Sus scrofa: one gene and its partners. The protein of the gene in region 7 interacts with the protein of the main gene of each other region in a pairwise test. Links are inferred from orthologs where the notes say so. Each region holds a gene or a part of one and is shown on either strand. Other genes may lie near its edges.

What was found.
Region 1: the proteins of FXR2 (region 7) and PAF1 interact in binary tests that used the Homo sapiens proteins (3 or more experiments, as listed by UniProt). The two-hybrid records come from large-scale screens. The link is inferred for Sus scrofa from reciprocal best matches to the Homo sapiens genes FXR2 and PAF1.
Region 2: the proteins of FXR2 (region 7) and MORF4L1 interact in binary tests that used the Homo sapiens proteins (3 or more experiments, as listed by UniProt). The two-hybrid records come from large-scale screens. The link is inferred for Sus scrofa from reciprocal best matches to the Homo sapiens genes FXR2 and MORF4L1.
Region 3: the proteins of FXR2 (region 7) and RABAC1 interact in binary tests that used the Homo sapiens proteins (3 or more experiments, as listed by UniProt). The two-hybrid records come from large-scale screens. The link is inferred for Sus scrofa from reciprocal best matches to the Homo sapiens genes FXR2 and RABAC1.
Region 4: the proteins of FXR2 (region 7) and PSME3 interact in a two-hybrid assay, tested with the Homo sapiens proteins (2 studies listed by BioGRID and IntAct). The link is inferred for Sus scrofa from reciprocal best matches to the Homo sapiens genes FXR2 and PSME3.
Region 5: the proteins of FXR2 (region 7) and FTH1 interact in binary tests that used the Homo sapiens proteins (3 or more experiments, as listed by UniProt). The link is inferred for Sus scrofa from reciprocal best matches to the Homo sapiens genes FXR2 and FTH1.
Region 6: the proteins of FXR2 (region 7) and C2H1orf35 interact in binary tests that used the Homo sapiens proteins (3 or more experiments, as listed by UniProt). The two-hybrid records come from large-scale screens. The link is inferred for Sus scrofa from reciprocal best matches to the Homo sapiens genes FXR2 and C1orf35.

What each region holds. Positions count from the first base shown.
Region 1 is NC_010448.4:48,045,987-48,050,112, forward strand, and holds the end of PAF1 (RNA polymerase II-associated factor 1 homolog), read right to left. Parts: intron 4,087-4,126; coding exon 3,985-4,086; intron 3,905-3,984; coding exon 3,799-3,904; intron 3,711-3,798; coding exon 3,454-3,710; intron 3,212-3,453; coding exon 3,095-3,211; intron 2,998-3,094; coding exon 2,869-2,997; intron 1,658-2,868; coding exon 1,552-1,657; intron 1,445-1,551; coding exon 1,354-1,444; intron 1,275-1,353; coding exon 859-1,274; 3' UTR 501-858; downstream 1-500. UniProt on the Homo sapiens protein: Component of the PAF1 complex (PAF1C) which has multiple functions during transcription by RNA polymerase II and is implicated in regulation of development and maintenance of embryonic stem cell pluripotency.
Region 2 is NC_010449.5:48,048,786-48,052,910, reverse strand, and holds the start of MORF4L1 (mortality factor 4-like protein 1), read right to left. Parts: upstream 2,801-4,125; 5' UTR 2,635-2,800; coding exon 2,595-2,634; intron 1-2,594. UniProt on the Homo sapiens protein: Component of the NuA4 histone acetyltransferase (HAT) complex which is involved in transcriptional activation of select genes principally by acetylation of nucleosomal histones H4 and H2A.
Region 3 is NC_010448.4:49,932,210-49,936,238, reverse strand, and holds the start of RABAC1 (prenylated Rab acceptor protein 1), read right to left. Parts: upstream 2,801-4,029; 5' UTR 2,652-2,800; coding exon 2,596-2,651; intron 2,345-2,595; coding exon 2,132-2,344; intron 1,852-2,131; coding exon 1,754-1,851; intron 296-1,753; coding exon 194-295; intron 110-193; coding exon 21-109; 3' UTR 1-20. UniProt on the Homo sapiens protein: General Rab protein regulator required for vesicle formation from the Golgi complex. May control vesicle docking and fusion by mediating the action of Rab GTPases to the SNARE complexes.
Region 4 is NC_010454.4:20,032,547-20,036,652, forward strand, and holds the start of PSME3 (proteasome activator complex subunit 3), read right to left. Parts: upstream 2,801-4,106; 5' UTR 2,800-2,800; coding exon 2,758-2,799; intron 2,265-2,757; exon of another isoform or gene 2,250-2,264; coding exon of another isoform or gene 2,175-2,249; intron 2,073-2,174; coding exon 2,040-2,072; intron 1,917-2,039; coding exon 1,854-1,916; intron 1,659-1,853; coding exon 1,554-1,658; intron 353-1,553; coding exon 304-352; intron 1-303. UniProt on the Homo sapiens protein: Subunit of the 11S REG-gamma (also called PA28-gamma) proteasome regulator, a doughnut-shaped homoheptamer which associates with the proteasome. 11S REG-gamma activates the trypsin-like catalytic subunit of the proteasome but inhibits the chymotrypsin-like and postglutamyl-preferring (PGPH) subunits.
Region 5 is NC_010444.4:9,533,701-9,537,850, reverse strand, and holds the start of FTH1 (ferritin heavy chain), read right to left. Parts: upstream 2,801-4,150; 5' UTR 2,511-2,800; coding exon 2,397-2,510; intron 880-2,396; coding exon 733-879; intron 419-732; coding exon 293-418; intron 195-292; coding exon 36-194; 3' UTR 1-35. UniProt on the Homo sapiens protein: Stores iron in a soluble, non-toxic, readily available form. Important for iron homeostasis. Has ferroxidase activity. Iron is taken up in the ferrous form and deposited as ferric hydroxides after oxidation. Also plays a role in delivery of iron to cells.
Region 6 is NC_010444.4:51,238,526-51,242,791, forward strand, and holds C2H1orf35 (multiple myeloma tumor-associated protein 2), read right to left. Parts: upstream 2,801-4,266; 5' UTR 2,750-2,800; coding exon 2,656-2,749; intron 2,550-2,655; coding exon 2,399-2,549; intron 2,257-2,398; coding exon 2,211-2,256; intron 2,116-2,210; coding exon 2,036-2,115; intron 1,821-2,035; coding exon 1,748-1,820; intron 1,647-1,747; coding exon of another isoform or gene 1,582-1,646; coding exon 1,496-1,581; intron 903-1,495; coding exon 777-902; intron 692-776; coding exon 634-691; downstream 1-633.
Region 7 is NC_010454.4:52,893,258-52,896,757, forward strand, and holds part of FXR2 (fragile X mental retardation syndrome-related protein 2), read right to left. Parts: intron 2,275-3,500; 5' UTR 2,222-2,274; intron 1,872-2,221; 5' UTR 1,778-1,871; intron 1,360-1,777; 5' UTR 1,303-1,359; coding exon 1,288-1,302; intron 1,176-1,287; coding exon 1,027-1,175; intron 765-1,026; coding exon 671-764; intron 226-670; coding exon 109-225; intron 1-108. UniProt on the Homo sapiens protein: mRNA-binding protein that acts as a regulator of mRNAs translation and/or stability, and which is required for adult hippocampal neurogenesis. Specifically binds to AU-rich elements (AREs) in the 3'-UTR of target mRNAs.

The DNA of each region.
Region 1 (4,126 bases), on a different chromosome or scaffold from region 7:
AGGTTTATTTATGTACCTCTTGCACACTCATCAACCTATGCAAGTCCCCCACCCCGGCCCCTCCATGTTTCTGTGCCTTTGCTCATTCCCCTCCAACTCCCAGGGCTTCCCCAGTCCTCCTCCCAGCCCAGGGAAGTGGGATGGACAGGGGCCACCTCGTTTGGAATCAGCAGGGTGTCCCTCTTAAGAGACCCTCACCTCCTCCCAGCAGTCCTGTCCTGTTCACTACCCATCAGAGTGAGCTGGGTCTGCCAGGCACTGGGAGGTGGTGAGGGGCACCCCCAAACACAGCGGGAGGCAAGAGCTGCTGCCCTCCCCACCACCTGACAGAGTGTGCAGGACGCAGGCGCCCCACTCTGATGGGCAGGATCCTGACCCACTCCCATCCCTCCCCAGCCCCTGGCCCCTCTGCCATGATTTCACCCTCCCTTTTATCCCTAGCCCCACTGGCAGAATCAGCTTTGAGTAACTGTACAGTTTTTCTCGCTGTTGGAGAAAACTTATTTGTTGGAGTTTCACTTGTTTAATGGTCTGGGCTTATTTTGGAAAAAAAGAAAAAACAAACAAACAAAAAGGATTCTGACCTTTGTTATGCTACATTTCATGGAAAACCTAGTGGCCCTACCTCTGTGGCCTTTGCTTCTGTGCCTTAAGCACCTGTGGGGGTGGGGGTGGGAGGAGGGGGCAGAAGGAGACTGTAGTGCCTGGGAGGGGAAGTAAAGGAAGGTGGCTTTATTAAACAGCAAAGGTTTGGAGGAGGAGAGAGAAACAAAGCAGAAAGCTTGCAAATAGACCACTTGAAAAGTGCCTTCCTGCGCGTAGTAATTGTACCTGCTCCAGCCCTGAAGGCCCTGGGACTCAGTCACTGTCACTGTCAGCTTCACTGGAATCCGAAGCTGCAGCTTCACTGCCATCCTCCTGAGCAGAATGCTCGCTGCCACTGGGGAAGGGACTGGCACTCCGGCTCCGGCTGTGGCTCCGGCTCCGCTGGCCACCCCCATCACTGCCACTGTCCGAATCATTGTCACTGCCTCGGGCCCGTCCTCTGTCCTCATCGTCAGAGTCAGCGTCATCCTCTGAATCAGCATCACTGCCGAAGATCTCTTCTTTGTCCCTGGCAGCCCGGGCCTCATCCTCACTGCTTTCATCCTCGCCGCTGCCGCTCTTGTCACTGGCCTCATCTCTGTCACCCTCCTCTCGTTCACTCTCACTGCCCGAGCGCTCATCCTCGCTGCCTTCCTTCTCACTGCTGCTGCCCTTCTCTCGTTCCTCATCTGTGAAAGGAGCATGAAGAAGTGAGACCCAGTTCTCGACCCTCCCCGGGCTCCCAGAGTTTGGCTGGTCCAGCTTTACCTGAGCCCCCAGCTTCTTTCTCTTCTGTCTCCATTTCCTCCTCCTCTTCCTCCTCTGGTTCGTGGTTCTCCAGCTGGGCCTTCCGTGCCTCCTGGAAGCAGCAGGGGTGAGGGGAAGGAGAGTGTTCTGTACACCTCCTCTCTCTCCTCACCAACCTTCACCCTCCCCGTGGGTGCCCTGGATCGTGGTGCTTGTTACCTGGGCTTCTAACTCCTTCTCATTCATGTCCCGATGTTTGACCACAAGCAGGGCATTGGTACCAGACTGAACCCCAGCCTTGGCCCGGCGCTTACTCAGGCGGACCCTGCAACGGTGGAGTTGGGGGAGAGGGATGTGGAAGAGATTCGGTTAAAGAACTCACCCCTGTGGGGAAGCTGGACTGACTTGGTTCTTCCTTACCCATCCTTACTCATTTACGCTTGGCCCAGAATAAATACAGACTGCATAAGGGAGGCTAAACTTGGGGACAGGGATGACAGCTCCCGAGATAGCAGTGTAGTTGCCCTGCGCTGTGTATGTGTGTGTATGTATGCCCTGTACATATACACGTAAGTGTATGAATAAATAGATTTTAGTGTGAATTAGGTATTAACATTTAGAATTTGGATTTCTGGCTTTTGGAAAATAAGACCCCACTCGGCCCTTGCTGCACCCCCTCCCCACAGCATAGCAGCAGTGGGCTGTGTCATGGTGCCCCTTGGAGGCTGCCAGGAGCTCCAAGTCATCTGGACCCCGATAGCCTACTGTGCTTTCTACCTTTCTTGCTTGGCTTAATGGGATCAAAATTTGTGATCTCTGCTTTAAATAGAAACTCAAGGTCATACTTTCCTTGCCAGTCTTTACACACCAAGGATCCCACCACAGCCGTTTTCGCCATCAGGGAAAACTTTTAGGTGGTCACATGTTGAACTTGGATATCTAGTGTTTCATTTAAAATAGCCATGCTCATTTTATGCATTACTCTATACTTCGGCTATGTTTACTTCCACGTGAAGTCTCTTACTAACATCAGGGGATACTTGGCAGTCTACCCTACGTGAACACTAAACATCTCCAGTATTAGTTAGGTAAAGATTTTCTTCCTGGAGTTCCTGTCATGGTGCAGTGGAAACAAATCTGACTAGGAACCATGAGGTTGCGGGTTCAATCCCTGGCCTCAGTGGATTAAAGATCCAGCATTGCCATGAGCTGTGGTATATAGGTCACAGATTCAGCTTGGATCTGGCATTGCTGTGGCTGTGGCACAGGCCGGCAGCTACAGCTCTGATTAGACCCCTAGCCTGGGAACCTCCATATGCCTCAGGTGCAGCCCTTTAAAAAAAAAAAATGTCTTCCTGGGTTCTTATGTTAGAACCAGGTCTAGCCCGCAAGGGTGATCAGGCTCCTGCTCTTACAAATGCACATGGCAAATCCTTAGGTACAAATGACCTCCGAGGTGGCACTTGCATACCCCAGGGTCCTGAATCTGAAGTACAAGCCCAGATAATCTCAGTGAGGTAGGACAGTGCTAAGTACCTGGTCTCCAATTCATTGTAGTAAACCCCATCCCCCTCTCGGAAGATGAAGAAGTAGTTTTCCTCGTAGCCCTTGCTGGCCTTGTTCTTCACATTCCAGTTGTACTCGCGAGCAATCTTGTAGTCATACCTAAGGATGAAGGGGACAGGGTCAGCCATTTCTTCCCTGTGAAGGAGAAAAAGAGACCTACTCCTTAACACCCCAAACCTAACTCCAACCCACATACACATCATCTGGCGCATAATCCATCTCCTCCTCCTGGTCCCGTTTTCGTTTCTTCAGGGTTTCTTCCACAGGCAGGAAGTAAGCCACAAACTGGTTCCCTTCCTCATCCATCATGCCCCTGGTTGGGAGGAAAAGAGGAGCAGCTAAAAACAAAGACAAAGATGGGCATCCTCTTGTGGTGTATCAGCAGCTAAGGATCTGGCATTGTCACTGCAGTGGGTTGGATCACTACTATGGTGTGGGTTCAGTCCCTGGCCAGGGAACTTCTTCGTGTCGCCCCCCCCCAAAAAAGAATGGGGGTGGGTGGGTGGGGAGGGGGCCAATAAGGAGCAGGCCAAGGTGAGCAGCAGGACCACTTACCTGATCATGGCCTGAGACATCATCTCCAATGCAGCTGCACCACTCGTGTCCTTTGGGGCTGGGTCTGAATCAAAGATCACCTGAGCACATGGGTTGATCCACATCTGGGGGATGGAGGGCACTGGGATTAGAATGGGACAGCCAGAGATCACAGGCGATCCCTCTCTGCCTCCTGCCCTGGATCTGACCTTAAAATCTGGAAAGACAGGCATGACCTCCACTGGTGTCACTCGAGGCTTGCTGTAATGCTGGGAGATCTGATAGGGGCAAAAGCAGGATGAGGAGTACACAGCACTCTGAAGCCACCCCGCTGACTGCCTCCCCCCATCCCAGTCCCTCAATTACAGATTTCTGGGCATCCTCAAAAGTCTTCTCAATAGCTGTGATCTGGCTATCCCTGTCTTTGTATATTTCTTCCTCAGTGAACTGCTGCTTCACAGAAACCCCAATCCTAGGAAGGAACAGAAAGGCCTTTAGGGACCACTAGACGCACCTGATATCTCCACCTTCCCTCCCTACCCACCAGCTTACTTGACCTCAGGCTTCTCATTGGAAATGCCGTAACGATTGAACTCCGTGGAGATATACTCTGTCTTCCGCATCCATGGCACCACCTTCGCATGCTGCTGGGATCTGGGATGGAAGGCTCAGGCACTTTAGGACCCCATCGCCC
Region 2 (4,125 bases), on a different chromosome or scaffold from region 7:
CCCAATAGTATTCTTTACCTTAAGCTTTAACATTTCAAGTGAATGAGCAAATCCAGTACCAAAACATCACTCTGCTTAAAAACTGCTTTTGTAACATTTGTTGTGCCTTCACTAAGAAAAACTTTCAAGTTTAAAGGAATTGTAATAATTCATACTTCATTATTTCTGATAATTCATACTTTCTGTGTCTCGGTATAATTCTTAGTTCTAAAAGAACATTCCTTTTTCCTTACAAGATATTCTCTGAAAATTTGTTATAAATAACTAATCATAATTTCTTAAAGATAACTATACAACTCAACTTTGATGAGAGTAGAAAACATGTTTGGAAAGTGATGGTTAAGTGCAGAGTCTCTTAGGTAGCTTTCAAAACGTTAGATACTTGGTTCCTACTCTTCCCTAATTCATCACTATAGCAGGACATGGATTCTCCTTCACTGTTAGCCCCCCTCTCTCTAAAGCACTTCCTCCAGAATGCCATCCTTAACTGTCCCAAATATGGGTGATTTCTGCTTTGATATCCAACAGTGGGGATTAATTTTTTTCTTCCATGGACCTTTCACAAGTCTGTTAAGCCTAGAAGCCCTTCCCCAGAATTTTTCTCTAAATATGTAAAACAGTATTACAAAATTGTTCAACTGTATTGAAATAGTTATCAAAACATTTAAAATACCACATTCTATGGCAATATTAAGAGTCCTTAATGTAAACATTTAGCTGCTGATTCAATAACTACAATTCTGAAGTAATGAACAGCAAACATCTTAATGTATCTCCCACAACTGTAATGCTGGGATGTGAAAACATATAGCTAATACTATAAGTTTTTCATTTTGCTTTTTTTTTTGGGAGGGAGTCCTACATTCATAACTGAAATACTAAATTTTAGTTAAACAATAGAAAAACAACTTTTTCCCATCCAACTTTACGGATCATCTGAATTATAAACACTGACCCTAGATTAACAATCCCTGCTGCAGACCGAGAACAGACTTGTGGTTGCTAAAGCGGAGAAGAAAAGGAGTGGAATGGACTGGGAGTTGGAGATTAGTAGATGCAAACTACTACATTCAGAATGGATAAGCAACGAGACCCTACTGTATAACACAGAGAACTACTGGCACTCTCTTGGGATGGACCATGATGGAAGATAATATAAAAAAGGGTGTGTGTGTGTGTGTATATATATATATATATATATATATAATTGGGCTACTTTGCTGTACATCAGGAATTGGCACAACACTGTAATCAACCACACTTTAGTAATTTTAAGTAAAGGTAAAAAAAATTCGCAGCTAGAAAACATGTTTTTTAAAAAAGCAATCCATAAAGTCATACAGCTTTTCAAGGTGGTGAGAAAGCAGGTATTGAGAGTCAGTTATAACAGAAACGCCCTTGGAAAAACCTTAAATATTCCATAAAGCTATAATATACTTGGGTTTTGTGCATATGATTCTAAAAGTAATTGTAACGTCCATTAATGTTTGAAAATCCCTACAACAATATTTTTGCCTACACCTCGATATCTATGGTAACTACCACATACACCTATAGTAATGGAAGGGAAATCTGAAGTGTTCTTGCATGCCTTACAGAATTTTACTTCCATTTTAGCTGTCTCCACCTCAATATAAATTAACAGAAATGTTAAATATAAATATTAAAGAGCCGTCTTCCACTGGAAGTCAGGTTCTACCGTCAACCAAGACACGTCCATCAAAAACAAAAAAAACCTTTCCAATCACTGTTAATCAAACGTTACTGCAATGAGTCAAGCAGCTGCAGTATTTAAAAGACGACTACAAGCCAATAGGACTTATAAAGCAAAGGGATGCCTTCAAGGAACACAAAGCCGACCCAGACGCCCGCGGTTTTTCTCTTCTCCTTCTCCTGTCCCCACCCACCTCCCTGCGGAAAGCGCCGGAGAACCAGTTCGCGTACCGTGGCGGTGGAAGAAGGGGGCGCTGCATCTGCCCTAAAGCAGCGTCTGCGGCCGGGAGCCGGGGACCGAGGCGCCGGCGGCCATGATGGGGCGGCCATCTTGCAGCGGCCATTTTACAACGCAGTTCTCCCGCCCCAAGGCGCGAAGCCCACCCCACTGCAGCAGCCCGGCGGCTCCACCGAGTACGACCACCTCGGAGCTCGAGGCCTCCCGGGAGTGCCAGCTGTTGACCGCCCACGCCGCCTGGGGGCCCCGCGCCGGCGCCCGAAACCACTGCCGCTCCCTCCCCTCCCCCATGCCACATCACTTCCCCTAACGGCCGCCATGGCGCACCCATCGCCTCCCTACAATAGGCTACTTTCTCCGCGCTCGCTTCACAACAACAAACACTGCACTATGGCTTTGCCACGCAGCAGCGGATCCCTCTCCTACCCCAACGCCTGCATAATGCTTCCGCTTCACAAGGTGCTTTCTCCTCGTGACGCACCGAAATATCCTGCCGCAATGCGCTTTCCCTGCACAAAGCCTTGCCAGCCGCCTGATCCGAGCGCAGCCCTTACCACCCCCGGCCCACAAGCTTCAACTACCCCGAGCCCGCCTCCATCCCCTGCGCCGTTAGATGCCTTTTTTCCCACGGGCTCAGACTCACCCTCCTGGAATTTAGGCTTCGGGTCCTGCTTCGGCGCCATTTATAAGTGATTCGCCGCCGCCTCCTCCTCCTTCTCCCACCACCCCCGACTACCGCCCCCTACTCTCTACCCCACCCAACTTCGCGTCAGACGCGCCGTCAGGCACCGCCAACTCTACATCCTGGGCCCGATTTGCCAGCGCCCGCAGACCTCACAGCACAGCGACCCGCGCAGCCGCCGCCCTAGCCAACGGTTGCCTGCCGCGCACGCGCCCCTGCGACCGAGCCGCCCCAGGGCACGCCGGGAGTGGTAGTTCCAAGGCAGTTGAGGCGCCACGGGATGGGGGAGGGGCGTTGGCCTTTTCCCATCCCCCACCCCCTGCTGCTCTTCCCCACCCCCACCCGGGGACTGCCTGAGGTTTTTAAAGCCGGATTTGTTTTTGTGTGTTGCCAGGGCGAGAGGAAAGGAGGCCGTGCATCACGTGCGGTGAAAGAATGGGAAAGGCCCAGTTGCGGAGCCCCATGGGCAATAGAGGGCCACAATTATATGGGCTTTGAAATAGCCAGAAATAAAAGGCTGCCTCTGAAGCCTACTTTCAATAGCATCTGAGTAGTTTCTGCGTAGGAAATCTTCACGGCCAGCAATCTGGTCAGAAGTGGGTGGATAATGGAGACTGCGTCTATAAATTTCATTGTTTTAGCAAGCTCACTGCCAGTTTTTTTGGTGCGACTGATGGCTGTTTGTCGGCTCCTACTCCTCCCCTACTCCAGCCCGGGGCCTGCAGAAATGAGGACATAGAGGGAGACACCAGGCAGTCTTTTGTGATAATGGAGTTCAGTCCGCGGAGGGAGGCTAACGTGAATAATCACGACGTCGAGATTCTGCACTGGCCCTATTTGTACACATTCTTGCCACCTAATTTCTTTGAGCTATTATTGAATATACACACAACTTAAACGAATTTCCTTATGTCATTCCCTTGTTCGAAATGTCTGCAGTTTGCTCAGCCGCAAAATAGAATAATAGCACCTTTCCATTGGTTTACTGTGAGAATTTCATGGAAAGGCTTAGGATGGTTCTGAGCAGTGAATTAGTGTGCAGAAAACGTTAAGCAGGATGAATCCCAAAGTCTATAGCTTGGCATTTTAAGTCCTTCCACAAACAATCCCCAACCGTCTCCAGGCCTTAGACTTGTCTCCTTGCCTTTTCTAAACCCTCCCCTGAACATGCTACGCTCCCATCAATTCCAGACCTCTCTCCATTTATCTGACTCCAGTTTCTCCTTCAGTCTTCCTTTAGCACAGCCCCTTTGACCACAGAAACCCACAAAGAACCCTCCTTCCATTTGCACCATCTGGTTTCTATTACTCCCTAGGGTGTCTAAGAAAGGGGCAAGGGCTTCTTGGTGACTCCACCACCACACCAGAACTCTCAAGTACACTTCTTTTTTTTAACGTGTTGAGTACAAAATAGTTCAAAATTAAATAATTCCGAAAAGATTTTAATGTAAAAATGAAGGTAGTGAAAAGTCTCTTTCCCACCTCTTATTCT
Region 3 (4,029 bases), on a different chromosome or scaffold from region 7:
GACATGTCCTTGAAGACACCTCACACAGGTTCCATCTGCAGCTCCTCCCCGTCCACAGCCTCTATCTGGTGGAAGGCGGCGTGGGAGCCGATGACCACGAGGGTGGCTCCTGGGGGAAAACGGGCAGCTCAGGGCCTGCTGCCTCCCCGGCCCCCACTGCCCACCGCGCCACCGAGACCCTGTACTCACTCACCTAGGACCCAGAAGACGGCGGATCCCGCGCCAGCCAGCCAGAAGAAGGGAAAGGAGACGCCCCCGGCCAGGGCATACTGATGGGCGGGGCTCACCTCTCGGCCTGGGGGGGCAGATGGCATTGGGACAGCTGTTCCACACCTGTCCCCTCTCCCAGAGTAACCCCCAAAATGCCTTATGCCAAGGCCCTCCAAGTCCGGCCCCAGCCATTTCCCCAGCGTCCCCACCCACTGTCCCCTGAAACAGTGCACCTTCCTCAGTAATCCCCCCCACCGCCCTCCACCCTTCAACTTTACTTCTGCTAGGAAGCTCCCAGACTCTCCCTCCCCAAACTACAGCTTTCCTGCTCCAACCTGCCCTCGCATAGACCTGGGTTTTCCAACTGGCATCCCAAAGGCCCAGGCTGACACCTAGACATGTTTTTTGAGTTTGCATATTATTCCACAATAATTTTTTTGCTTTTTAGGGCCGCACCCACAGCACATGGAAGTTTCCAGGCTAGGGGTCGAATCAGATCCACAGCCACAACAACGCGAGATCCGAGACACGTCTGCAACCTACACCACAGCTCACGGCAACACCAGATCCTTAACACCCTGAGCGAGGCCAGGGGTCGAACCCGCATCCTCGTGGAACCTAGTCAGGCTTGTTAACCGCTGAGCCACGATTTGTTGATTTGCTGCTGACATACAGACAGAATGATTTCACACAGCAATACAGTCGGCCCTCTGTATCCGCAGATGGGCACCCGTGGGTCACTGTACTACATCATTGCTACATCAGCAACTTGAGCATCCTCGGATTTGGGTATCCAAAATCTGGGGGCTCCTAGAAAAGCTGAGAGATGGCTGTATAGACATCTGGCTTCTTGTGGCAGATTGGAAAGTCAGACTTGCAAACCCTGGCGGCAGCAGTGGCTGAAGACAAGTTGTGACTATGCTCTGGACGCTCCCTCTGTGCCCTGTGCTCGCCTGACATGCTCCTCCACCCAGCCCACCCTTACCAGATACATAACTGGCAGGCTTCTGATGGATTCTGTCTTAGGTCTACCTGTTTCTTTGATTCCAACTCCCCCTTATCTCCACTCCAAACCTTGAGTTTCCCTTAGTTGGGAACTCAGGCCCTCTTTCTTCCCAGTGGTGCTTGGTGCCAGTCTAGGACCACATGAGCCACAGGCCTCAGCTTCCCTCTGAGAAGTCCCAAGATTTTTCTACTCCCATCCCAGGAAGCACGAAAGGGGGAGGACAGATTTAGGCTAGAGTAAAGTCGCCACCTGGCGTCCAATGTGGGTACTTGCAGCTGATGCTTTTGGCAGATGAGGGAGAGAGAAGGAGGAGGTTTAAAAGGCCAGCGGCTAGGTGGAGTGGTTCTTGGATATCTTCTGGGTTTGGGAAACAGCAATTTGGGGGGACTGAGAGTGGATAGGAGCATCAGGTGTGGGTATGGGGAATCTACTGTAGGTCTAGGATTGGGCAGACTTGGGTTCAAAAGGACTCAGGTTTGAGGTCTAAGGCTTGGATTCAAAGAGCCAGGATCAGAGGAGTTTGGGCAGATTTCTCACCAAACAGCACAAACTTGGACTGCAACGTGCGCAGATAGAGGATGTAACAGGCGCCAAAGAAGACAGCCAGAGCTACCAGCAGCATGGGCGATGTTACCCTGGAGGAGGGCAGGGAGGCACAGTCAGGCCGCTGGGGCTGCGTCAGACACGAAGGCCCTGACCTTCTACACCTGGGGACGTCCTTAGGACCACGCAAGTCTAGGTCATGTTTGGTCCCCCTGCATCCCAGCCAGGCTGATGGAGTAGGGACCTGGTCCTCTGGGGTAAAGATCCCACAGAGCTATCCCATGGGGACAGGGCCTGGCCAGTGCAGACATGGCAGCCTGGCGGGGGCGGGGCCTGGCTGAGGGGGGCTGTTCTGGCCAGAGAGACACTCACACGCAGTACAGGATGAGGCCCAGGAACACAAACACATAGTTGCTTTGGTAGTATTCCACGTTGCGTACGAGGCGCTGGCAAAGCTCGCCCAGGTTGCGGGGACGCGAAAAACGCCGCTGGTCCACGAAGGAGCCCCAGGGGCGGATGGTAGCACGGCGCCGCTCCAGCCACTCACGGCCCGCGCCAGAGGGAATCAGTTTCGGCAGCAGGGTCCTGGGGGGTGCGGGACCAGGTCAGCGGTAGACCGGGTTGGAGCCCGGACCCCCGAGCAAGAAGGGGGCCGAGGGGAGCGGGACTCCGGGGTTCTGGGGGGCGGGGGAGATATGGTCCAGGACTCCTGGATTCCAGGGGAGGAAGGGATTGAGCCGGGGCCAGGAGTCCGGATTCCTAACTCCCCAGGGATGAGGGGCGAGAAGCCATGACTCTCGGGTCTAGGTCAGGGGGGCTAGATTAGACTTGCTTACGTGGCGCTCAGCCCTTCCGCCTCGGCATCCTTCTGCTGGTCCTTCTCGGCCGCCATGTCTGTGTTGTGAGGGGAAGAACCGCTGTAACGAGGCTGGGGCCCTCCACACCCCACGGGCCCCGCCCGAAACCGGCCTCACTCGAAGTGGCCGGAGGGGACGTGGCGCCGTTCCGGCGCCGCTGGGGGCGGTAGGTTTGTCACGGAGTATTATGGGAGTTGTAGTCCTGACGATGTCGGGGAGAGTAGGCGCCCTGGTGGCTGCATGGCTCGAGGAGCACCTTGGGAGATGTAGTCGCGTAAAGCGACGTGGGTGCCTCGGGGGCATTGTGGGAGTTGTAGTTTCAAAGGTAGGACGTGCGAGGTCAGAGAAAGTGAGCTGTCAGGAGTCAGGGTGTCGGGGGAGTGTAAAGGCAGAAGACGTCGTGTACTACCCCGAGCAGTCTCTGTACAGTGGGGACTGTGTAGGGCTGTCATTCTGACTCTAAGGATATTAAAAAAAACCGTGATTAAACACTCAGATGTTCTGATTTATCAGATCTGGGGTGAGACCCATTCACTGGCTCTTTTTTTTTTTTTGTGGCAGGCAGGGAGTGGGGTGGGTGGGGACATGCTACGTTTTCTGGCTAAGGATCGAACCCTAGCCACAGCAGCAACCCTAGCACAGCAGTGACAGTGGGGGATCCTGAGCCACCAGGGAACTCATGGACCACATTTGAATAGTGAGACTGTAGAATATTTGTAGGAATCCATTCCATCCTTCTTCAAAGGCTAGTGAGGGGGCCATGGTTGCTGAAGGGGGTTATCTAAGATGGGGAGCAAAGCTCCCCCACAACTCTGGGCTCCTAAGGATGGATGGGTTAGGATTAGGACCTCAAGGATGCCCCTGCTATGGAGAGGGTAAAGGGAAGTAGGGGAAAGTAAAGGGGTGAGTTGTTTTTTTTTTTTTTTAATCTTTTTTTATTCCAGTTTTATTGAGGGGAATGAGGGATTTTAATTTTTAATTTTTATTTATTTATTTATTGTCATTTTAGGGCCACACCCGTGGCATGTGGAGGTTCCCAGGCTAGGGGTCGAATCAGAGCTGCAGCTGCTGGCCCACACCACAGCCACAGCAAGGCGGGATCCGAGGCACATCTGTGACCTACACCACAGCTCACAGCAACGCCAGACACTTAACCCACTGAGCAAGGCCAAGGATCAAATACGCGTCCCCATGGATACTTGTTGGGTTTGTTACCACTGAGCCATGATGGGAACTCTGAGAATTTTTAAAAGACGGAGTAGTTACAACTAAAAGAACTGGATTTCTTGGGTCAGAGGTCAAAATCCAGCCTGTGTTGATTTCATCAACTCCCTGTCTTCATTGGACAGTGAAGATCATCCTGGTTCCACACTCATGGGTTAAGGTTGGGTTGAATGATCCATGTGAAGTGCT
Region 4 (4,106 bases), about 33 Mb from region 7:
TCGAAGATGCGGCTCAGACCTGGCATTGCTGTGACTGTGGTGTAGGCCAGCAGCAACAGCTCTGATCAGACCCCTAGCCCGGGAACCTCCATATGCCGTGAGTGCAGCCCTATAAAGACAAAAAAAGAGGAAAGGAAAATTAGGTTTAGAGTACTAGACAATGTCTGGAGAGCTTAGGAATGCTAATGCTAGGAAATAAAATCAGATCCTGCTTGCTGGACAGGAGAGCACCAGATCCATCCTGCTTCTCAGGGCTGCAAGCCAGGAAGGGTTGGGGTAGGGGACAGTGAAGGTGGCTCTTACCTTGGAAGGCCTCTTCACATTCATCCAACCTTCGCTTCTTGTAAGTGGGCTAAGGATACAAAGAGACAAGAATCAGCCTATTCGACACTCACATCCCCACTGCAAGTTACCCTTCTAGCAAGTTTAATCCCTACCTTGACTTCACAGGTTGTCTTATTAATTTACCCACAATTCACTAAGCACACACAAAGCTTTAAGAAAAGGTTCTTCCCACAAAGCAACTTACACTATAGTTGGAAAGACCAACTTTTCAAGAAATATAACACATTAGGCAACCAGGGGAGGGGTGGATACTATGAACAACAGAAAGAATGAACTACTGAATGCAGAGTGAGTATAACTAAGGGGATTATAAACAAATGTGCTTGTTCCACAAAGAATATTCAATCAACAAACATGTATTTAGCACTTGCAAGGAACAATGCTAGGTGCTGGGGATACAAAGATAATTCAGATAGTTTCTCCTTTCCAAAAGTGCAAGTTCTACCCATGAGACACCGACGGATAAATAACAATATATATAGCAGATAAATAACAATATGGGGTCATCATTGTTATAACAGAATGTGGACATATTCTAAAGACTAGTTGCTAAAGATACAGAAAGACGGGGAACTGCAGTTATATAGCAAGAACAATTGCCCCCTCCCATAACAAGACTCAAGACACTGAAACAGGGATGAAAAGTCTTGCCTAGAGCCATGGTGACAGACCAGGTAACCTGAGGGACCTTGTCACTATTAGCCCTATTTTCAACTCACTCTAACAGAGTACCCATTAACACATGCTACAAATGAAAACCGGGGACCGAAGGGGGTGTACCAAAGTCATATGTCTGTAAGAATCCTCATTCCGGGAGTTCCCGTCGTGGCGCAGTGGTTAACGAATCCGACTAGGAACCATGAGGTTGCGGGTTCGATCCCTGCCCTTGCTCAGTGGGTTAACGATCCGGCGTTGCCATGAGCTGTGGTGTAGGCTGCAGACGCGGCTTGGATCTCGCGTTGCTGTGGCTCTGGTGTAGGCCGGTGGCTACAGCTCTGATTCAACCCCTAGCCTGGGAACCTCCATATGCCGCGGGAGCGGCCCAAAGCAATAGCAAAAAGCCAAAAAAAAAAAAAAAAGAATCCTCATTCCCAGATCCAAATCCCACTGTCCCCTGTACCCCTGTACACGTTCAAGCTGACCAGAGACTTGAGGACAGAGCGCCTACTGCTTCGGCACACACACAGAGATAAATACAGGATACTTACACCGTCCAGTCCATCATGGCTATTGGTGAGAAGAATGGGGTCAGGGACTGGGAGATTCATGTCTGAGTGGATCTGAGTTAGGTCATGGATGTTTAGGATTGGCTCCTGAAAAGAGACGCCCACCCCCAAAACATCAGTCTTTTCAAAATGAACAAAGAAGTATTTCATTTCAAGGGCAACATATGAAGACGGCTTTACAGCACAAAACAAGATAGAATCAACACGTCATTTGTCCCATTTGACAGAAAGACCAGGGCCAAAAAAACTGGGGACTCTGAGGAAAAGAAAAGGGTCTCTCACCTTCAAAAAACTATCAAGTTCTAACAATTTCTTTGGGAAAAAATTTGCCACCAAGTCTTCTGCCTAAAGATGAGGGAAAATATAGCTGAATTAGTAACTGAGGGAAGGTCTGTCTCTACAGACATCTCTTCTCTGGAGAACTCCCAACCATTAACCAATGCTCGATTTTCTACTTCTTTCACTCACCTCACTTGTAATCCGCTCCCTGAAAGAATCAACCTAAAATTAACAAAGAAAGCAATTCAGTAAGAGCAAGTCAGTACCTGGCAAGAGAAGTATGGGCAGGATGGGGAAACCCAAATCCAACTGTCTTTCCCTCACCTTGTAATTGTAATGAGAAGCTGAGAGGCCCCCAGACTGCAAATACTTTATTTTTTTAAGGATCCATTTCTCCATCTCAGGAGAGGGAAGCGGGGCTGGAGGGCAGCACCCACCTGTCTTCCCTCCCTCCCTCCCTTTGTCTGTAGCTTGTCTGAATTTGAAAGCAGACAAAAGACAGGTAGATGGGAGAGGCGTGAGCTCACAAACATGTCAACCCCCATACAAACCTGGCCTAGGATGTGAGGCAGGCCTGACGCCAAGGGCAGGGGCAGTAGCAGCGCCCAGAGATGGGGACGTTGCTGGGCTGGGGGGACTTCCAGCTGTCACTGGCCTAAAGCACTAAGTCCACCACGTGTCCGCGGAAGTCTCCCCGGGGCTCTCCACCATTAGACAGGGTACAGAAGGCCACCCCATAGTAGCGTCTCCCCCGATGCCATCTCTGGGAGTGGGGGGCTGGGCTGAGCCGAGCGGAAGCTCAGGGCTGGTGTCCCCAGGGAGACAAAGACGCCATGGGGAGTAGGGAGCCAGTCAGACAGCTCGAGGATCGAAGCAAGGAGTAAGGAAGCCCGGACCGTACCCCTACCTTGAGCTTTACTTCCTGATCCACCTTCAGCAACGAGGCCATGGCCGGGCCGGGCCGTGTCCGCTCCGCTGGAGACCGGAGGCGCTGTGGGCTCCGGGGAGAGGGTCAGAGGGACGGGAGGAATCTCGGCTGCTCTCGGGACGCGGCCGCTCTCGCTGGCCCACTCACTGCTCACTTGCTCCCTCCCTTCGTGCCGTCCGTCCGCCCGCCTGCTGCCTGCTGCCTGCTCTCTCTCGCTCGCCCTCCCGGCTTTCGCCGCTCACACCGGAAGTTACGTCACAGCCAATCGCCGGGACTCCGAGAGGATGTGCACGTGCCCTGCGCAGCCGCGCTGAGGTTCGGCTCTGAACGATGGTAGCTCTGCTCCTATCTCTCGGCTCCTGTGCCCGATAAGGGTGAAGTAAAAGGGAGGGCAGCAGAGGGTGGTGGAGTGAGATCGGAGTCTCAGAGAGACTCGAGGACCGTTTGCCTCTCTGTTATTCCGGCACTCACCTTCACCGAAGGGACCGTCGGAGGCGCTGCTGCCTGGAGTGGGGGACCCGACAGAAGACGCCGTCGCGCCCCGGTGACGTCGGCCCGAGGAAGCCGGTGGTACCCGCGCTGGGTTCGGGGCGTCTAGTCTCTGATTCCTGCTGTCTCCTCCTCTTGGTCCAAGCTCTCATGTTAGGTTGGAGCCTGATAGGAAACAAGTCCTGTTGTACCAGGCTTCCCCGCCTTTCTCTGCCATTTAGCCGCTTACTCCTAGACCTCAGAGATCAAGTGCCAGATGTATGGACAAATTGATGCCTGTAGTCTGGCGGTGCTTGTCCTAGGCTACACAGTGTTTACAGTATATCCAAGTCCAGAACTCACATCTCCTAACTTCTAGGGCAATGCTGTATCCATTTTCCTCGTGGAAGGCGGAGACTGTATTCCCCCCTACCCGACTTTTTGTCGCCCAGCCCCGCCCCCCACCCACCGGAGGCAGGTGGAAGTTCCTGGGCCTGGGATTGAACCCTGGAGACCGCAGGGAATGGAGCCTCTGTAGTAACAAGGCCAGATACTTAACCAGTTGCACACAGTGGGAACTCCCCAGGCTGTCTGTCTTAATTCACCCATTCATCTGTCTTATAGCATTGGTTATTTCGCACAACAAATCGGAGTAGGCTCTGGGACAGCAGTGTCTCAGAGGCTAGAAATATAATGTGAGTCACTTATGTAAGTTAAATCTTGTGAACTGGAGTTTCGCATTTACGGTTACTTGCCATCTGCCTCTACGTGGATTAAACCATGAGCCATGGCAGCTGCTGACCTGCAGAACCCACTAAGCAGAGCTCAGGGTGGAAACCAGGAGTGAGGCACTCTGTGCT
Region 5 (4,150 bases), on a different chromosome or scaffold from region 7:
GGTCACCCCGTGTCTCCGGGAGGCCAGCTTAGGGCTTAGCTCTCACTGCTCCCCAGGGTGTGCTTGTCAAAGAGATACTCGGCCATGCCATACTCGGGGGCCCCCATCCTGTGCAAGTTGGTAATGTGGTCACCCAATTCTTTGATGGCTTTCACCTGCTCATCCAGGTAATGCGTCTCAATGAAGTCACACAACTGGAAAAGACAACGGGGAAGAGAGTTACTGGCGAGCCTTCCCAGGCCCCGAGGTAAATGACTTCCTCCTCCTCCTCCCAGGTTGCCTCAATACTCACGTGGGGGTCATTTTTGTCAGTGGCCAGTTTGTGCAGTTCCAGCAGGGACTGATTCACGTTTTTTTCCAAGTGCAGCGCACATTCCATGGCAGTCAGCCCATTCTCCCAGTCATCGCGCTCCGGTTTCTGAACGAGAAGGAGCCAAGTCAATGCACCTGCAGCCTCTACCTTTAAACCCAAGTCAGCAAGCACCTAACGTGTAAGCACTGTGCTTGGCGAAAGGAATATCCAAGCTTCCCCGACAACAGTTTCTATTTTACTATCCTTGCCCGTTACCATCTGCCCACTTTAGACGATAGGCCCACAACAGCACAAAAGCCACAAGCCACAAGCCCAACGTATCTGCGTCTTGATAAGAGCAACTGCTCAGGTCTGTGCCTTCTGCCACCTGAGGAGCGCCAGACACATCAGGCACGACAACCCTGGAATCTTTTGTTCACCTTGATATCCTGAAGGAAGATTCGGCCACCTCGTTGGTTCTGCAGCTTCATCAGTTTCTCAGCATGTTCCCTCTCCTCATGAGATTGATGAAGAAAGTATTTGGCAAAGTTCTTCAAAGCCACATCATCGCGGTCAAAATAGTATGACTGAAAAGTGAAAACAGGAGTCTGTGAGCCTAGGCTTCCTTTCTCAAAGCCCAGCAAGAAGGGGTCTGGGTCTAAGGAGATCAGAGCAGGCTGCGTTGCTGCATCGAACTAAACAGTCATTAGTTCTCACTCCTAAGGGCAAAAATGAAAAATGTTCACAAGGAGCATTTAGAATATCACAGGACTTGCCACCACCATGGAACATCCTCAGGATCTGTGTTAGAGCAAAGTTCTTTTTTCTTTTTTGGCCGCCTCTGGTCTGAGGAAGTTCCCGGGCCAGAGATCAGATGGGAGCCACAGCTGTGACCCTCATGAGAGTTGTGGCAGTGCTGGATCCCTAAAACCACTGTGCCAGGCCAGGGATGGAACCTAAGTCCCAACGCTCCAGACACACCGCCAACCCCATCGCGCCACAGCAGGAACTCCAAAGTTAAATTCTTACAGCCAGTGTCACATCTGGTCGAAGAGAGGAAAGTGGAGTATTTACTCCGCACTATTAGTGCTTCCTCCTTCTCCCTCCTTGATTAATCCATGTTAAAACATGAACTTGCCAGCTTACAGCCAGACCGATGCATTTCTAAAAGTACCCCACTAGGGAAGTAGACGGCTGTGGGCAACAATGTATATAAAGGCATAACAGTAGAAAGCAAAACTGGGTTCTTTTAGACCCTTGCTGGGTGTTCCTGAAATGGAAGGGCAGTCATAGAAATCCAGGCCAGTTCCAAACCCATCTGGTACCTGCCTATTCTTGGATGGTTTACGTAATGGTCAGACAATTCTACAACTCCTACCACACCGCCTAAAACCAGGAATTTGGAAAACTGACCCCTCTATGGAAAAAATGCCGGCCCTGTAACTGTGGATGGACTTTATCCAAGAACGAAGGGTTCGATTAGGCCCCAACCTTTAGACAAAAAGAATAAAGGAGGAGGTAGTCAGGCGCAAGGACGGGTGACTAAGACAACTGTGGCGGAAGGAGAGATTTCTAGAGATGTGCTTCAATTCAAGTGGGACTTGGCGATAAGCAGAGCAAACGGGTGGAGACGGCTGTTCGGGTGGTCAGCCCACTGGAGATAAAGCACTTCACACCAGCCCCCAGGGCTGCTATTCGACACCATTACCCAGCAGGCTCCGCCGTATTCTGGGGGATGGGAGCAGGACCTCTTCGCCTCCGCCCAGGATCACGTGATCGGATGCAGAGGACGGAATGGAAATGCGAAAATCCACCTTCCTAACTGCAGGATGGTACTGGCAGCAAGCGCGGCAAGGAAAAAAAAGGGGGAGGGGGGAGGGGGGTGGGCGGGCAGAGGCAGTCGGCCTACAAAGGGGCACTCCCAGGGGTCAGTCGGAAAGGGCCGACTCCTCGGAATTTCTGCGAAGTCCTGGGGGACCCGGAGCAGCCTCCATTTTCCAGAACCGCGCAGAGGCGGGAGGCGGGAGGCCCCGCCCGCTAGCCACACCCCGCCCCGCCGCCTCCGAGGCCGAGCCCGCCCCCCGCCGGCCAAGCCTGCGCTTACCATGGACAGGTAGACGTAGGAGGCATAGAGCTCCAGGTTGATCTGGCGGTTGATGGCCGCCTCCGAGTCCTGGTGGTAGTTCTGGCGCACCTGCGAGGAGCACGAGGTCGTCATGGCGGGAGGCTGAGGAGCGGTGGTGGCGGCAGCGGCGCGGGAGCGGTGGCGGTGGCCTTGGGGCGGTCCGAGGGCGCTGTGAAGAGGTGGCGAGGGCTGGCTCTGAGCGGCCGGCCGGGGCGGGTGACGAGCGCCGGGTTCCGTCCAAGCACTGTTGAAGCAGGAAACCGCAGCGACTCTCCGCGAAGACTGTGGCGCAGGTAGCGCTGGCCCGGCTCTTATATCGGCATCGGCCGTCCGCCCCGCCGCGGCCAATCACGCCGCCTGCCCGCCGCGCGGAGCCCCGCCCCTTCCGGTGGGTGCGGGCGGGGGTGGGGGGAGGCGCACTGGGATGGTGGGGGAGGGGAGGGAAGGGGTGGGGTGGCGAAGCCTGGGAGTCTTGGAACCCCGTCCCGCGCAGACGCCTTGAGGTGCGTTTCGTGGGATGAGAGAGACGACCTGAGCAAGGGCAGGAAGTCCAGCTCGGGGCTGTGACTCTATGACTCTCGGGGCTCTGACAGCCTGGGTTTTGCAACCGACGGGAAACCTTCCCTGGGGCGTCGAGGCTCTTGCAAGAGCCCAAGCGGGCACCCCGAGACTTATGGCCAAGGTCATGTTAAAAATCAGAGCGGTAGAGCTGCAGTTGCCACACTCCGAGGTGCCTGGTAATGCAAATAGGGAACCCGGAGAGTGAACGTGGGCCCGGAGTGAGGCAGAGGTCGGGCGGGGAAAGGGCCCTCTTTCAATTCCTCAAAACCTAGGAAGGGGCCCAAAGCAGGTGGGGTCGGGCCTCCTCCAGCTCTGGTGGCCCGGTCCGGCTTTGGCCGAAAGTGTACGTGGCTCCTCGTGCAGTTGCTACAACAAAGGCTGGGCGGGTCGTGTTTCCCCGAAAGACTGCCTTCCCGAGGGAGTCGTGAGCCACCAGGGTTCTGAGAAAATCGGCCGGTAGCTTACAACTCAGAGACCAAGGGGGTTAGAAAAGGAGGAAAGAAGCTGCTTGAATCTGAAAAGGATGCTGTGAGGCCATTTTGAAATGGCCGATCAAGCCCCAGGAGCTTCAGGCTCAGGCGGTTCTACAGGGAGCCACCCCCTGGGTTGTCCTTGGAGAGAAGCTGAAGGCGCGGAACATGAAGGACAGATGCCAGAGAACGTGGAGTGGCTGGGGCACTGTGTGTGGCTTGCAGCAGTGTCCCTGGCACTGAGTGGGTGCGAATTCGTGGGTGGCAGAACTGGAGCTAGGCAGACCCAATCTGCTGCCCCCAGGGTCCACGATTCTTAATCAGGCCCTTCAACACGTGGGTAGGGGACCTACCCAAGACCCTTTTCAGGATATTCACAAATGTCCAACTGTAAGCTGTACTTCTAAAAGCTTTACAACAAAAAATTAAAGGAACTTTACTAAAATAGGAAAACAAGTTGCTGGTGGAATTACAGCGATTTCTCTTGGGTCTTTATTCATTTCAAATGTACATATGTTACTTAAGGAAAAAAAATTTTAATGGGGCTAGGGCTGCAGACAAGAAATTAAGAAGGATGATGGGTGAATACCAAGGGTGCCTTACCCAGTCTGGGATAGGAGTTCAAGGAAGGCTGCCCTAAAGAGAGTGACATTTGAGGAGTTCCCGTTTTGGTGCAATGGCTAACGAATCCGACTAGGAACC
Region 6 (4,266 bases), on a different chromosome or scaffold from region 7:
CCCTTTGACCCGTGTGGCCTCCTTCTGGCCACACATGACCCAGGGCTCTTGGTCAATATGAGACTCCGAGATGCTGACCACCAAAAGGACAGTGCCCTTCCCAGTGGGATCACAGGTAGCCTTGCTAGAACCCAAGAGATCACATCTTCACACATCACTTTTTTTTTTTTTTTTTTGTCTTTTTTTTTTTTTGCTATCTCTTTGGGCCGCTCCTGCAGCATATGGAGGTTCCCAGGCTAGGGGTCGAATCCGGAGTTGTAGCCACTGGCCTAAGCCAGAGCCACAGCAACGCGGGATCCAAACCGCATCTGCAACCTACACCACAGCTCACGGCAACGCCAGATCGTTAACCCACTGAGCAAGGGCAGGGACCGAACCCGCAACCTCATGGTTCCTAGTTGGATTTGTTAACCACTGCGCCACGACGGGAACTCCCACACATCACTTTCTATTATGACATATGATAGCAACCTTCCCTTTAGTATGAAACACTTTCCACTTAAAATAAGTTTATTTACGTACAAAGAGTGAGTCAATACAAAGAAAAATAAAAGCAGCCGTAGTAGGCCACAGTTAAGCCTCTTTCGAGGCCTGGGGTGATCCCCATAGGCTAGCCCTTCAGATCTCTGGATCTCAGTTGCTGTCCTGCCGGCGCTTCCTCTTGCAACAAGGCGAGGAGTTGGGATCATGCCTAGGGAGACCGGGGGACACCTGGCTTGAGGGCCCCTGCCTGCCCAGTACTCCCCGCCTCTTTACCCCCAGGCAGCTGCACCTACTGGATGGAAGAAGGGGACAGTGAGGAATGTGACCCCCTCCCATGCTCCTTTTCTTTCTTTCTCTTCTCTTTCTTGTGTTTTTTCTTCTTTTTCTTCTCTTTCTTGCTCTTCCTGTGGCTCTCAGGGCTGCAAGGGGACACAAAGTGCCAGTGCCTCTGGGGCTTTGGAATCTAGCCAGGGATGGGGCTGCTGCAGTAGCCACTAACCATGTGTAGCCATTTCAACCTGAAGTCACTAAGGGCAACTCCTCAGTACCACCTGTAGCCAGCAACTACCACGGTCGGGGGCACAGACCCTTACTTGCATTCCAATCGTGGCAGAAAATCTGACGATCTCATGGCCCCTTTCCAACCCTCCCACTGCGATTTTCCCCACTCCCACTCCACCCTGCACTCTTGGGGCCAAATTGTGATCCCCTCCTGTGCCACTCACACCCCTCGCTGGGCAGCTAAAGCAACGGGAAGGGGAAGTGGTTCACCACCCCACCCGCCCCAGACCCCGGAAAGTGACTCATGTCTGAACATTCTCTTGGGCCCCTGATCCCACTGAGGAGTCAGGGGGCAAGTGGAACCGCCCCAGGGCTCACAACCTCCAGCGGCTCCCCCCCAAAAAAAGGCTGGAGCTAGGAATTTTACTGTCTGGTGGAGCAAACAACATGCAGAGCGAACCGAGTTCTGTGTCCTAGTAGCACGGGTAGGGTCCACTTATCCAGCCCTTACCCTGGCTCCACCTTCTCCTCTGACCGAGGCTTCCTCTTGGCCGAAGCCAGGGAGACCCCTGGCCGACTGCTCTCCACGCGGTGGTGCTGCCAAGAAAAGCCACTCTGGGGGTGTGCGGGCCTGAGAACCATCCAGAAAGCCAGTAGGGTCCCTTCGAGGGGAGACGATTTGCCCCACGGCTTTCAACAGGAAGGGACACTCATCCCCACCCCCACCCCAACATGGGATAACCAGGATGTCGGGAGGAATTACCGTGAACACCGAAAGCCCCAGTTTAGCGGCCTCTTTGTCTTCCCGTGACAGCGCCACTCGCCCTGCAGAGCCACTGCGGGGACGCGGGTGGGGACCCCCCCCCACAGTGAGACACCCTCTCCCGACAGCGAGGACCACCCCATCCCCACCCGTAGGCCTCCCTAGAGAAGTGATGAGTTCAGACGACCCATAACGGCTTCCACCTGGGCGGCTGACAGCGCCGAACCCCGGGGAATTGCACCCTCGCGATTTCTGGGGTCCCCGAGGACCACCTCCCCAGCCCCGCACCTGGAGCTGCCCAGGCCCAGGAGCCGGTCCACTCCCTTCTCGGGGTCACTTCCTTCCCGCTTACAGACTTCGACAAAGTCCTGTGGGTGGGGGGGAGTGCAAGCGCTCACCACAGCGTGGGGTCTGCCCCCCCGCCCCATCCCGCCCCCGTCCTCCAAGAGGGCCCACCTCTCACCTCCTTGCTCAGGCCCGTGGGCTGCTTCCTTACGTTCTTGTAGCCTCTGCGGGGGCCGCGCGTGAGCTTCAGAGAGTGGCGGGCCTCTCCTCGGCCCGCGCCCCCGCCCCCGCCCAGCCCCGGTCTCCGCCCTACCCCCAACCAGGAGGTAATTCCCCCCCGCCCCCAAGCTCCCGAGGCTCACTCACAACGCTGCCATAAGCGCTTCCTGCTCCGCCTGCCTCACGGCCTCCAGCTCCTGTTCCCGGCTCAACCCCGCGCCGTGCGCCCGGCCCTTGGCGTACCAGGTGAGGTCACGGCCCTTCTGCCAGCGGCCCACCGGGGCCATCAGCGAGTTGCCTGCGGGATACCGAGCGCCGAGTCCTCGGTACGGCGCTGCAGGTTGGCGTACCTCCAGCCCGAGAGACACCCCCGCCGCCACCCTGGGTCCCGGCACCCCGCTCACCCAGGTAGTTCTCCCTCTGTTTGTCAGTCTTCACATCCTCCCAGCTAAACTGATCCTGCCCACCGCGCACTCCACCCCGGCTGGAGCCGAACATGGTGCCGGCTTCCCGCTACCCAGGCCCCACCGGCCCCCGTTTCCACCCCGCGTCGCACGCAGTGACGTCATGCGCGCTTGCACCGCCCCCGCCTGCCTCTAACGCCTGCGCACTGCTGTGGCCCTGGCCAAAGTCGGAGGCTGCGGCAGATACCGCCGCATTATTGGAAGCCACTGTCGTGGGTCACAGGTAATGAAAGGGACTAGTATCCATGAGGCCATGGGTTTGATCCTTGGACCGGATCTGTGGGTTAAGGATCCGGTGTGGCCATGAGCTGCTCGCAGAACCGGCTCGGATCTGGTGTGGGTGAGGCTGTGGCTGTGGCATAGACCCGGCAGCTGCAGCTCCTGCTAGACGCCTAGCCTGGGAACTTCCGTATGCTGTGGGTCCGGCCCTAAAAAATAAATTCGAGTCACGTTGTGTGGGTGACACCCCCGAGTCATCGTTGCTAGTGTGTGCTGTTTCTGGCCCTGTGCTGGGGAGAGGGGTAGGCACTGGGGGAGACTATGTCTGAAACTGTTTCCCTACTATAGCTTCCCTACCTTATAAACCGGGAGCCACCAAGGTCAGGTTGCACCTGCACTGGCCTGTTCTCCACCCTTGGGGATACCAGCTGTGTGGCTCCCAAAAAAGTATGGAAGCACACCTCATTGCACTCATACCTCAAAGAGCACAGAAAATGCCTCAGTCACCCTCAAGGTGTTCACTGGCAGACGATCCTCATTCAACAGTTTTGGTCTTTGCTGCTCAGTATCTATAGTAAGCTAGTTGTTGGGCAAGGGTGTTCGGTTTGTCATCACTGCAGACCAGAATAGATTCAGTCATAAGAGGTCCTAATGAGCAGAGAGGAGTGCCACTCCATTGGCCAACTCCTACTGAACTGAAACCATAAGATGAATGTACTGAGGAATTTACACGGTGCCACACATGTTATCTGTATCCCTTCAGTACTGGTCCTCTCACAAGACATGGCCCTCCTGCAGGTTGCTCAGTGAGTTCATCTGATAATGGGGGGGGGGGGTGAGGTCTTTCACCTTGCTCTCCCTCACCTGCCTCACTGCTTAAGGGCGTTCTTGAGCAAAGATGAGGAGGTCAGCAGGGCCTGGAAGTGCATAGCCACACATTGCTGGGATGGATTGGGGTGGGAGGATGTCCCTGTGCAGCCGCACAGAATGGTGAGTGGACCAGAAGGGGTCAGGAGTGGGGGAGGTTCATCTCCCACAGGCTGTTGGCTCCTACCTACTGGGTCAGGCCCAGAACACCTTCCCCACCATATACTATGACTGAACTTCAGGTATATAAGAAAGAGCCTGACAGCCAAATTCCAGTCCCCACCATCTACCATGACTGGAACTCAGGTTTATGGGAAAGAGCCTGACAGCCAAATTCCTATAATCAAACCCCAGGAGCTCCAGGCCTGGGCCAGGTCAGCTGCCTTAAAAAGGCTGGAAATTGCCCCTTCAGGTTTTACAGAAAGGCAGCAGTCAATTGGAAGGCCTAACAGATTGCAGCTGCAA
Region 7 (3,500 bases):
CCAGAAAGACCTTAATCTCTGTTCTGCAAACACAGGGGCATGGGTGGAGAATGGGGTGGGAGGGAGGAGAACACCACCACCCAGCAGTAAAAAGGGCTTAAAACTTACCTCTAGGTGCTTGGTAGCTTCCTCATTGCGGGACATGAGCAGCAGTTTGGTGCGCAGGCTTCGGAAATGCATATCCCCCAGCAGGGATGCCCGTTTCACAGGAGCTTCTGTGGTTGACTGGAAAGAAGACAATGGAAAGGCCATTAAAATGGACTGAATGCACATTGGAAGAGAGCCAGGAACTGGGAATCAGGATGCCTGAGTCTCTGAAAAAGAATGGATGTTAAGAAACAAATCGTGTCAGTCTCACAAGGACCTACTACATGGGCGCCTAAGGGAAGGATTTTAAGTAGCAAACACAGGTGAGAATCACATGTTTTTGAGAGTCCAAATATGCAAGAGAGGGTCCCTAGCCCAGACTGTAATACGATGGTCAGGTAGGAAAAAAACTAAGGTCACACGTGAGAAAGACTAAGGAAACATAGGCTAACCCGAGCCCACAAGGGTCTGGAGCTATACAGTCCTCTCTGCCAAATAAATATAAGCACATTTTAGCTCTTCCTTCTTGCAAAGGATTAAAAGGGGAGTGGGCTTAGGTGAAATTCAGGCAGAATAAACTCACCAGAATGAAGAGCTCACTATTTGTGATGTTGAGAAAGATACAGTTGGCTCCCAATGCTTTCTTGAACTCTTTATGGACATTTTCATTGGAGCAGCTGCAGGGAAAGAGGACAGTGCTCAGAGGGCAGAGTGCAGAGTTGAAGGTTCAGGGGAGAGAGAAAGAGGGGACTGAGAAAAATAAGAGGGACTTGAGTAAAAGAACAGGGATGAGGAAGCAGGGGAACTGGGAGCAAAAAGGGCTCTAGAGGGCCACGGGAACAACAAAGAACACTGAAACTGGAAGCAGCGCCTGGGAGAAACAAGGGCAGCGATGAGGACCATAAAGAGGCCCCCACTCCCAACATCCCCAACACTCACGCCTCTCTCAGATCCTCAGGCACAGCCATGGTCACCTTGAAGAAGCTGCCTTTGGTTGCAAGGGGATTGGGATTAACTGGCCGAAGCCGTTCCAGGGTGACAATCTCATTGTAAGTGGCATCACAGGCAGCATATTCAATGACATAGAACTGGCAGGAGGAAGAAGAGAAAGAAACTATGGATGACCTGAGTCTCCATCTCCCACCTTTCTTCCCCTAAAATGGGTTTGGTAGCTCTGCAAAGACCTTCACAACCACTCACATCTCCCTTCATCATCCGCACTCGGGCCAGCCACCAGCCGCAAGGTTCTTGCTCATTGGCTCGAGAATAAACCTGAAGAGAAGAGAAGTTCAAAATAAAAGAGAATTGAGGACCATCCAAAAACATCAAGAATGGAGTAAACATTAAGACACGTGAGAGGCATCCTAAACTAAGATAAAGGAAACCAGAGGAAGGAGCTGCTAATTAAAATCAGAGGGCTCTGGACTTTAGATGCTGTTGTTATACAGAGAGAACTGAATCCCCTGAAACTGGGAAGCTCCCTGAGAGCTTGGCTGCATCACACAGTGACGGACAGAGAACTGCTGCATTTCACTCTCCCACAGGCTGCCCAGCTCAATGAAGCAGCTTAGCTTAGGAAGGAAGGAGAGTGAGCCACAGTGGCGGGGCCAGGATACCGGCATCAGGATAAGGGAGATGCAGAATCCTGGGAAAAGCGACATTTAGCAAGGGAGGACGCCATGGTCCTTACCTCCACCTCATCCCCTTCTGTAATCTCCTTATTATAGTCAGCTGGCGGTGGTAGCCGGACGTCCCCAAAAGGAATCTGTCTCTCACTCTGCCAGCTGCAAGGGAAACGGTGATACGAAAGCTATTCAGGCTCTGCACTTGTCCATTTCTTCAGGAAGAGGCTACTTCCTCCACTGTGCATTTTCTACCCTCCCTGGTGATTAGGCGCTAAACCCCAGGCCCTCCTCCATAATGGTGTCTCTCATCTCTTGCGAGAACCTAAATACTGAGTCAAATGCCCCCCGATCCTCACATTTCGGCCCTTTCCTCTCCTGTGATCCAGAGAAGTTGCCCACCCAAACCCTTGGCTCTCCCCCACCTATTACATGCCTCATGGGATTCAGCCGCCCCCGCTTCTCCACTCTCCTTCTAGGACCTACTGGATTCTCTATTCCCAAGGTCTTACTTGTTTTCAAAGAAGATGGTGACAGAGTCTTCATGGACATCCTTCACAAAGCCCTAGAATGGATTTGAGAACAATGAAAAAAAAGAAAAAGAAAATGACAATTTACCACAACCTCAGCTATGAAGGGAACAGACACTTTTGGAATTTTAGACTGGGACACAAGCAATCTAAAAGCAGGGACAAAAAAGCTGTATTGGGGAAGGAATGTGAATGTTGAAGTTGCAAAAAAAGAAATAATATTCCACGAAAAAAGATGTGGCAAAATCCAGTAAGTTGAGAGAGAAATTAAGTAGAAGGGAGAAACATCACCTACATCACAACAGCCTGGAAACTAGTGGACTCCTATGGCTCCCACAGGGGCCTCCATATCTGTCTGCCTCCTGCTGTGCTGAGCAGCTTGCCAGAGTTCAATTAAAATACCAACAACATTCAGCAAAGCTAAGAATATCCCATGAGACAGTGTGAGGCTGCCCTGGAACACCTAAAGGACATCAGGATCTGCCAAGAGAAAAGGGTCTAGCTCCCTAACACAGCAAACTTGGTGGCTAGAAGACTGGGTCCTAAGGAGATAATCGCAACACTGGAGAAGTTCAAAATGAACACAATTTATGGCAGGAAAAAATAGAATTTAAAAGATGTGAGGGAGTCAGACCATAACATGGGGTTTAGCATGTTCGACTAGAGTCCCTCTCCCCTGCAAATAAAATCACTTTTATGTTTAAAAAAAAAAAAAAAAAAAAAAAAAAAAAAAAAAAAGATGTGAGACTTGGACACTGCTAAGAAACTGGAAAGGAATTCCTACTGTAGCACATCGGGATCAGCTCAGCAGTGTCTCTGGAGCCCTGGGACACAGGTTCAATTACCGGCCCAGCACGAGGATCTGGCTTTGCAGCTAAGGCTGCAACTGTGGCTGGGATCTGATCCCTGGCCCAGGAACTCTGTGTGCTTCAGGCAGCCAAAAAAGGAAAAAAATAAAAAGAAACTGAAACAACACCAAACTTGAGATCATGACAAGAGAAGGAACAGGGATGACTGAATAGCTGGTCTACCTATTTTCTATGACTCACTGAGGAAGCCAAAGCTATCCATTTAATCCTATATTCCCAATTTTGCTACAGTCTCTCTTTATTTTTCAAAAACTCAAAATTAGAGATTGCTTATTTTGATAAAGTCCAATTTATCAATATGCTCTTTTGTTAACTGAGCTTAACGCCACAGCCACAGCAACACAAGATCCAAGCTATGTCTGCAACCTAGGACCAAAGATTGTGGCAACACC